3 linked regions of the Macaca fascicularis genome follow. The protein of the gene in region 1 interacts with the protein of each later gene in a biochemical or structural test. Links are inferred from orthologs where the notes say so. Each region holds a gene or a part of one and is shown in the gene's direction. Other genes may lie near its edges. The genes, in order: LRRK2, NEK1 and CHGB.

Evidence for each region.
Region 2: the proteins of LRRK2 (region 1) and NEK1 interact on a protein array, tested with the Homo sapiens proteins (2 studies listed by BioGRID and IntAct, with this or other methods). The link is inferred for Macaca fascicularis from reciprocal best matches to the Homo sapiens genes LRRK2 and NEK1.
Region 3: the proteins of LRRK2 (region 1) and CHGB interact on a protein array, tested with the Homo sapiens proteins (3 studies listed by BioGRID and IntAct, with this or other methods). The link is inferred for Macaca fascicularis from reciprocal best matches to the Homo sapiens genes LRRK2 and CHGB.

Annotation. Positions count from the first base shown.
Region 1 is NC_088385.1:46,716,764-46,720,423, forward strand, and holds part of LRRK2 (leucine-rich repeat serine/threonine-protein kinase 2), read left to right. Parts: intron 1-1,039; coding exon 1,040-1,149; intron 1,150-3,660. UniProt on the Homo sapiens protein: Serine/threonine-protein kinase which phosphorylates a broad range of proteins involved in multiple processes such as neuronal plasticity, innate immunity, autophagy, and vesicle trafficking.
Region 2 is NC_088379.1:174,218,319-174,221,978, reverse strand, and holds part of NEK1 (serine/threonine-protein kinase Nek1), read left to right. Parts: intron 1-1,555; coding exon 1,556-1,764; intron 1,765-3,063; coding exon 3,064-3,194; intron 3,195-3,357; coding exon 3,358-3,490; intron 3,491-3,660. UniProt on the Homo sapiens protein: Phosphorylates serines and threonines, but also appears to possess tyrosine kinase activity. Involved in DNA damage checkpoint control and for proper DNA damage repair.
Region 3 is NC_088384.1:81,397,829-81,400,199, reverse strand, and holds the end of CHGB (secretogranin-1), read left to right. Parts: coding exon 1-461; intron 462-1,321; coding exon 1,322-1,399; 3' UTR 1,400-1,712; downstream 1,713-2,371. UniProt on the Homo sapiens protein: Secretogranin-1 is a neuroendocrine secretory granule protein, which may be the precursor for other biologically active peptides.

The DNA of each region.
Region 1 (3,660 bases):
GTGCGGAGGCTCACGCCTGTAATCCCAGCACTTTGAGAGGCCACGTCAGAAGGCTTGAGCCAAGGAGCTTGAGACCAGCCTGAGCAATATAGAGAGAGACCTGTCTTCACAAAAATGTTTTAAAAATTAGCTGGGTGTGGTGGCACATACCTGTAGTCCCAGCTACTTGGGAGGCTGAAGTGGGTGGATCACCTGATGCCGTGAGTTCTAGGCTGCAGTGATCGGTGATTGCGCCGTTGCACTCCAGCCAGGGTGACAGAGTGAGACCCTATCTCAAAAACAAATCAAAACCAAAAAAAAAAAAAAAAAACAAGAAAAGAAACGTACTAAGGATCCAGTATAGCCGTTCTTGCACTTAATAATCTTGGTACAACCTCTAAAACTATTTTTTGTAGTTTATTTTATTTTGCCTTAGACAATAGGCATGTCTATGTTCTTCAAAATTTAGAAATTATATATATTTATGTGTGTGTGTGTGTGTGTATATATATATATATATATTTTTTTTTTTTTTGGAAATGGAGTCTTGCTCTGTCCTCCAGGGTAGAGTGCAGTGGCGCAATCTCGGCTCACTGCAACCTCTGCCTCCTGGGTTCAAGTGATTCTCCTGCCTCAGCCTCCCGAGTAGCTGAGGTTACAGATGCCTGTAACCTTACCACCATGCCTGGCTAATTTTTGTGTTTTTAGTAGAGACGGGATTTCACCCTCTGCCATGCTGGTCTCTAACTACTGACCTCGTGATCCACCCGCCTCCGCCTCTCAAAGTGCTGGGATTACGGGCGTGAGCCACTATGCCCAGCCGAAATGTTATATTTTTTGTATGTCTTTCTGGTTTGATTTTTGGAGAAAGGTGTATCCTAAGGATATGGCTTGCTTTTGTTTCTTGGTAAGCATTTTAGGGTATCATTTTGTTTTATAACAATTATTTACAAGTGAGATAAGCATATATTCCACTAAGACTGAAGAGATTCATGTTTGACTCAGTATGTTCTATTAACATTCTTTAAAACACGTGAATATATGTCTTTCTTGTTTTCAGGTGGGTTGGTCACTTCTGTGCAAATTAATAGAAATCTGCCCGGGTACAATGCAAAGCTTAATGGGACCCCAGGATGTTGGAAATGATTGGGAAGTCCTTGGTGTTCACCAGTAAGTATGATAGATATGTAAAAACAAACTGCCTTGAGTATTTATCTATACACATAAAAACCTTCCCTTTGACACACTGAATTTGCAATCCAAGGCTACTCTTGTGAAATTCTTTGAAATACAGATATTTTTCCTTGAGTCAATGATTTACATTTATAGAGAGCTTTAAACTCAGAAGTTTGATTTAGAAAGCAAACATTTAAGGTAACATGTCAGGAGTTATTTTAATAATATAATCATATAATTATAAAACTGGTTAACTTGTAGATTTTTGATGAGTACTTTTGCATTCAAACCATGAAGATATTTTGCCCTTTAATAATAGAACTGATACAAACCACTAGTTCCTAAAAAAATGGGAACTGAGAAAAGTTAGTTCTGTACGTAGTAATTTGAAAGTTGATGTTCTGTCTTTAAATGGTACATTTATATATATTCATATATATACACAGTAAGTTTAAACTACGGCTTTCAAAAAGAGTAAGAAAGAGGAAATTACCTTTCAGCACATCTGCAGCCAAATCTTGATGACAATTTTACCAGCTATGTTTTTGCAGTTTGCAGCATAATGACTTCTTAAATGAGACTACTTCCTTAGCCACAATTAATTAAGAAAACCTTTTCTGAAGAAGAATGTGTTTTCAGGAAAATACATTATTTCTTGACAGTTAAAAAATATCTTCTCAGCTACTCGGGAGGCTGAGGCAGGAGAATCACTTGAACCTGGGAGGCGGAGGTTGCAGTGAGCCGAGATTGCAGCACTGCTGTCCAGCCTGGGTGACAGAGTGAGACTCTATCTCAAAAACAAACAAACAAACAAACAAACAAACAAACAAACCTTCTGTCATTAACTTTAAATCTTTTTTATAGTAATGTGACTTTTCTTTACCACGGAAAAGGAAATTGTGAATATATCTGGCTTACAATGGTATACAGTTTATGAAAATTTAATTTATGAAAAATTTTTAGGTGTTTATATTGGTGATCAGTATCAAGTAGTGCTGCAAATTTAGACAAATTAGAGCTATATGTTTGGCCATAAGTGAACATATCTGTGCTTATACATTTTCCCCTCTTTGACAAATGTGTTGCTCTTCTTGTTTTCAGTACATAAAGGGTGTGTTTGGAAAGAGCATATTTACAATTAATTGGAGTTCTCATCTTCAATCTAATCTTTGTAATTCTATGTTTCAGTTCTAAAGTATACAGCTTTTGATGAGGAATTACTCAGAATATACCAGTAATTAGCAATTGTAACTTTTAAGTGTCCCTTGGTTTGGTTGAGAATTTCCAAGATGTCCAAAGATGAGCCAGTCTATAACCTCAGGGAGTGTTTGGGAAACTCATCTAGTCATATTCCTGTTCAAACCAGCTGTTCAAATTAAATTACATAAATATTTATACAGGAAATTTGTTCACTCACTCACTTACTCATTCACTCACTTTGTTCATCCAGTCATTCATCTTCCATTCATCAAATGTTTTTTAAGCCCCTCCTCTAGGCCAGAAACAATGCAGTTGTGAAGAAGATAGACACACTGCTCTCTCCAGTGGAGTGTATTAGGTCACTCCCGGCAAAAATTGATTGCAAAACAGATTTCTGTTTTTTCAAGGCCTTTTCTCTCCAAAGACTTACCAGTTCTGAAGAAAAATTTCTTCCGTGGTGTCAAAGTCAGGAAGAGTGGGAATGGTACAGGGAGAGGTAGGGGCAGGGTGATTAGGAGGAAGACTGGCAGAGAATTGAAGACTGGCTTCATTCAGTTCCTCCAACTGCCAAATGGAGATTATGCAACGTTTCTTGAATACGTACAAAGCTCTAGATGTGGTCAGCTCAGTCTTTTCCCAACAATTCGCCAAACAATGCTGTGCAGGAATAGACTAGAGATTATATTTTGGGATTAATAATATAGAGATTAAAATCTCATGAATTTGAACTAAACATTATTGATATGTTAAGTTCACTTTTTTTTTTTTGTTTGTTTTTTGAGACAGAGTCTTGCTCTATTGCCAGGCTGGAGTGCAGTGGCCTGATCTCGGCTTACTGTAACCTCTGCCTCCCAGGTTCAAGTGATTCTCCTGCCTCAGTCTCCTGAGTAGCTGGGACTACAGGAGTGCACCACCATACCCAGCTAATTTTTGTATTTTTAGTAGAGACAGGGCTTCATCATGTTGGCCAGGATGGTCTCGATCTATTGACCTCATGATCCCCCCGCCTTGGCCTCCCAAAGTGCTGAGATTACAGGTGTGAGCCAGTGCTACCGGCCCACTTTTTAATATATTATTAATTTCTCTTTTAAAAACAGTAGCAATCAATAATTTAAATATTGAAATGAATTCTTAATTTATATACACAAACTAACATCTTTATATCTCTCTATATTTTAATATATCAACATGTCTAAGATAAATTATAAATTTATATCACATGTAAAAATGGGTTTGCTCTCGATGTATATAAGACTTCATGATATTTTGAACATGGAGTTGGGTGAAAATAGTGAATCTGAATTT
Region 2 (3,660 bases), on another chromosome or scaffold:
TAGCCAAGTTTTTTGCAATATTTTTCTAGAGAGGTCTCGCTATGTTGCCCAGGCTGGTTTCAAACTCCTGGCCTCAAGCAGTCCTCTTGCCTCAGCCTCCCAAAGGGCTAGGATTACAGGCGTGAGCCACTGCACCCAGCCTAAATTAGTCTTGTAATTGTATGTTAAGTTAAATGCTACTAGTGGGATGAGTCAAGAGATTAGACACTATTTTCTCATTCTAATTAGATGCCTAGATTTTCTATAGCTCCTACAAGTCAAATTATAGGAGTTTGTATATATAAGTACAAAATGAAGATATTTCTACATAAAAAGATTATTTACTCTTTCTCTTAATGGAAATTATATTGACAGTCTTGCACAATAGTGTTTATATTTTAGTTCTTCAGTACATATTTGATTTGAGTCTAAACTCTTAGAAAAGCCTTAATTAGCCCTTGTGTTCTATTAAGCATTGCCTTCCTGATAGATGAAATCCTCGGCTTAGGTTCACAATCTCTTTCAGAAGTCTTCAGACATCTAAAACATCAATTAACTCCTTTAGTCTACAAACTTTTCCATTTACATTCCATGTTAGAAGAAAGAAGCAAATCACAAAAGGCAAAAAAAATTTCTGAGTATGTTCCTTGGATATTACAGAAGTGGTCAAAGGCCTAGATTTCAGTGCTCTGTCATTTACTGACTATGTGGCCTTGACCAAGTCATTTAAACACTTTGGTTCATAGTTTTCATGTCTCTAAAGTGATTTTTTATGGATAAAATTTGAGTAATAGGATAAAACTGTTTAAAAAACGAAAGTTCTATATAAATGTAAGGTATTATTTATGTGACTTATTTCATTCCAGCATCTATAATCCCATGAAAACAGAATTAATATTCTGACCAATACTTTAGAAACAAGATTCTCCAGTGAAGAATTATGATGGTTGGTATAGGGTAGTTACACAGAAAATCTATTTATTATGTATTTTAGAACATTTTTAAGAATAAGCATCTAAAGATAAGATTTCTGGTGACCATTTTATTCACTGGGTCATCCTGTTAACATGAATATATAATTTCCTAAGTATTTCTGTTTCTAAAAGTTCAAATGCCCAATGGGCATTTATATGGAAAGCCTTTTGTATAGTGTCTAGCTATTAGCCACATGGATATTTTGAAAATTACAGAATTCCATAAAAGAGAAAATAATTTACTATTATTTGTTTTAGAAAAACTTCTATAGTCTGGCCTCTTAAAATATCAAAACATTGTTTCAGAATTTAAGCAATGAGTAACATTAATAGTTATGTGATTCTCTTTGGCAAGTTGGGATCATTTAAACAAATCATCTTCTGGCTTATGTATTCCAGAATATGTGTTGTGTTCATCGTCAACTTACTGGTGAAAAACAATGTAGGTTTTTTCCAGATTTTTTGTTATCTATTAGGATTTTTAAAGTAGAAGTGCCTACATATTGAGTAAAAGTAACATTTCAGCATGAGGTAGTTTTAGTTGTTTAACTTCGTAAATTTCAGTATGTTTGAAACTTTCAGTTAAACCTTTTAAATTTCAGTGTGTTTGAAGAAACTGACACAGATTTACAAGAGCTGCAGGCCTCAATGGAACAGTTACTTAGGGAACAACCTAGTGAAGAATACAGTGAAGAAGAAGAGTCAGTCTTAAAGAACAGCGATGTGGAGCCAACTGCAAATGGGACAGATGTGGCGGATGAAGATGACAATCCCAGCAGTGAAAGTGCCCTGAACGAAGAATGGCACTCAGGTGCATAATCAGAGTTTTGGACCTTTTTCTTTTTCAGTTTACAGATATTTCAAGTGGAATATAGTTTTCTAATCTCTGCTGTGGACCATTTCCAACTTTAAATACAACTGAAGCATGCCTCTGGGTCTCTCCCATTTTTCACTCTTTTTCTTTTCATACAAATATGTGATTTTCCTTTTTTTTTTTTGAGACTGAGTCTCGCTGTGTCTCCCAGGCTGGAGTGCAGTGGTGTGATCTCGGCTCACTGCAAGCTCCGCCTCCCGGGTTCACGCCATTCTCCCGCCTCAGCCTCCCAAGTAGCTGAGACTACAGGCGCCCGCCACCACGCCCGGCTAGTTTTTTGTATTTTTAGTAGAGACGGGGTTTCACCATGTTAGCCAGGATAGTCTCGATCTCCTGACCTCGTGATCCACCCGCCTCGGCCTCCCAAAGTGCTGGGATTATAGGCTTGAGCCACCGCGCCCGGCCAATTTTCCATTTTTTTATTAAATTTTTTTTCTTTACTATTATGTCAATGCTTTTTTGAAGCATTTTTATTCTAATCTCCATTTCTTGACTGATTTTTCCAGTAATAAAGATAATAACATTGTTTTCTTGTCATTCTATATTTTAGAAAGAGCTTCTGCATATATTAATCAGCAGGGTTAACACTGAAAGCAGTTTTTAAAGTACTAAAAACTCGTTTCATAAATTTGGAAATTTGCTCTTTCATAACATTACCCCTAAGATGCATAGAAAGTGTGTCTATTTCAGTAACTATATTATGTTAATTTAGGAAGAAAAGCTAATGTGAAAAGACTAAGTAATGTTTTTTTTCAAAGTATCTTGAGCATGTACATGACAAAACATGTTGGCCATTTATACTTTCCAGGTGCTTTCCTGAAATGTAATGATGTATGTCTTAGGTTGTCTACCTTCTGCAGGCTTTTCCATGGTATGGCCCACATTTATTACCAACTTTTGTAGTTAGGGTTAGCTGCTTCAAAGCAAAATATGGAGGTGTGCTTTTTCCACTTTTTTATTCATTTAAGTAACATCTCTAGGAGTGTTTTGATTCCATCCTGACTTATTTTTTATATCTATAAAGGAAAAGTAACATTCTTGTTTAGACAGATTTATACATAATTTTTACCAAATAAAGGACAAATATTAAAATGACAAAAACCGTTTATAATGAAAGTAGAAGTAGTCTACTTCAATGGCATTATTCATTTGTCATAGAATTTTAGTCTATTAGGGTAAGAGTTATCTTATTCAGTCTTTTTAAATCAAAATATCTATTTTAATTTTATTTTTTAGATAACAGTGATGGGGAAAATGCTAGTGAATGTGAATACGATAGTGTCTTTAACCATTTAGAGGAACTGAGACTTCATCTGGAGCAGGAAATGGGCTTTGAAAAATTCTTTGAGGTTTACGAGAAAATAAAGGTAAGTGAAAAGTCAATTAAAACACTTAAAATGTGCTCTGTTTGAAGGTTAGAGAAATGTTAATGATCTTTATTGGTCATTAGATTTATTATAAATAAAAAGGGAAGTCTACAATTAGAGAAAGTTATTCAAATACTAATTTATATTTGGGAATTTGGTATAGGCTATTCATGAAGATGAAGATGAAAATATTGAAATTTGTTCAAAAATAGTTCAAAATATTTTGGGAAATGAACATCAGCATCTTTATGCCAAGATTCTTCATTTAGTCATGGCAGATGGAGCCTACCAAGAAGGTAAGATTTCCTCACATGTCTGTATAATTTTCAATAAATGTGAGAAAAACAAGATGATACATGTAGATGACTCAGCTTACATCACATCCGTTTTGTGAAATCTACATGGGAACTATATTACTTTTAAGCAATAATAATATTAACTTTGTCATATACTTTTACTGATCTGT
Region 3 (2,371 bases), on another chromosome or scaffold:
CGAGGTTTCAAGATAAACAATATGGCTCCCATCACACAGCTGAAAAGAGGAAGAGATTAGGGGAACTGTTTAACCCATACTACGACCCTCTCCAGTGGAAGAGCAGCCATTTTGAAAGAAGAGACAACATGGATGACAATTTTCTCGAGGGTGAAGAGGAAAATGAGCTGACCTTGAATGAGAAGAATTTCTTCCCAGAATACAACTATGACTGGTGGGAGAAAAAGCCCTTCTCGGAGGATGTGAACTGGGGGTATGAGAAGAGAAACCTCGCCAGGGTCCCCAAGCTGGACCTGAAAAGGCAGTATGACAGGGTGGCCCAACTGGACCAGCTCCTTCACTACAGGAAGAAGTCAGCCGAGTTTCCAGACTTTTATGATTCTGAGGAGCCGATAAGCACCCGCCAGGAGACAGAAAATGAAAAGGACAGGGCTGACCAGACAGTCCTGACAGAGGACGAGGTACAGTGTGGGGCTTCTGTTTAAAATTACTTACTTTGGTCAATGTTAGCACATTATGTTCAAGACTATCCGATATTAACGGGGAGAAATTGGTGGGAATTAATCACTATGAAAATGGTGACCTAGTAACAGAGTGGAGGCCACCTTGGGGGTCGGTTTCCACCTACCTTTAGCCATCGTCCACATCTTTGCCCACCTCACTCGGTCGCATTGCTTCTCAACCTTGTCCGCACACTGGGGTCACCTGGAGAGCATGAAAAATTACTGTTAGAGATTCTGTCTACTTAGTGCCTGGAGTGCTGCCTGATCATTAGAATATTTTAAAGCTTCCAGATGATTGCAGCGTTCAGCCAAGGTTGACAACTACTGTTCTGGTATCTTTCCCTTGGTCATCTGTCTGTTCATCACTCTCTCCCTGAGGTAGGGAGAATAGGTGATAGAGAAGTTTACTTGCTTTAGTTTGCTATCTTTATTATTTCATGCCCTACTGCCGTCAGAAATTTATATCTGGGAGAGGTAACACTGTTGGAGCTGTACCTACCCAAACAATGTTTTTTTCCTAATATTGATTAGGTAGGTTGTCCTTCTCAAAGTTGAATGTACATCGGGATCATGAGGGATTCCTAGCCCCCAGAGTTTCTCATTTAGTAGGTCGCAGGTGAGACCCCAAACTCTGCATTTCTGACAAGTTCCTGGCTGATGCCACCGGTCAGGGGACCACACTTTGAGAGTTACTGATGTAGGTTGACTAATGTAGCTTCCAACATGCCTAAAATTCCCCTTTCCATTCGTACTCCATCCAACTATAGCAAAATAAATTGGTTCGGGACCTCATGCCTCCACTTTTCTGTATTTTCCAGAAAAAAGAACTTGAAAACTTGGCTGCAATGGATTTGGAACTACAGAAGATAGCTGAGAAATTCAGCCAAAGGGGCTGACTGTCACTGGAGCAGAGGGCACTGTTAAGAAGCAGCCCTCACATGATCTGTTTTTCACCACTTCACTGAGAAGACACCATTTATCTATCCAAGGACAGAAAGTAGAACTTACTATTCGTTAAATGTTTGACACAATTGGAAATGTCTTTAATTTTTGCCAGAATGCTATTGAAAATGTTAATTGCATGACTTGTAGCATATTCTTTTCCGCAAAATAGACATATTAACATGCTTGTGACAATGACTGTGCTACTGTCTTTGGAAAAATGTTTGTCTCAGTTGCAAATAATAAAAGATTCACCTGAGACCAAAAGCTTCATTGTTCTCAGCTTCTTTTGGGCAAAGAGGGAGGAGTGTGACTTTTCAAATCTATTCTTTGAAGTAAATTGCAGAAGATGGCTCTAGGATTTGTTGGGTTTTGGATGCATAATAGGATACAAAAGCAAACCTTTTGAAGTAATGTGCAGGATATAAAGAGAAATAGATTAGAAAAAGATATCTACTCCCCTATGCTGAGAGAGATTACAGGGGCTTTAAGAACCTCTTTCAAAAACAATCATATGATATTACTTAAAAAATTCCTTTATGTAAAGAGCTCTAGAAGTAGCCAGCCGAAGTTCATTTTTCAGGGCTTAGAAGAAAGCTTGGATGAGGGGAAGAATTCCAGGGTGGAAGTGAAAACATCTGGCCTGTCCAGACAGATCTCTGGCCCCTCAGGTCTTGTCGGATTTCTACTCCTTAAGAAGATAGAGGCGGCTGGGCACGGTGGCTCACACCTGTAATCCCAGCACTACGGGAGGCTGAGGCAGGCAGATCACGAGGTCAGGAGTTTGAGACCAGCCTGGCTAACATGGTGAAACTCCGTCTCTAATAAAGATACAAAAAAAAAAAAAAAAAAAAAAAAGCCGGGCATGGTGGCGGTCCCAGCTACTTGGGTTGCAGTGAGCCGAGATCAGGCATTGCACTCCAGCC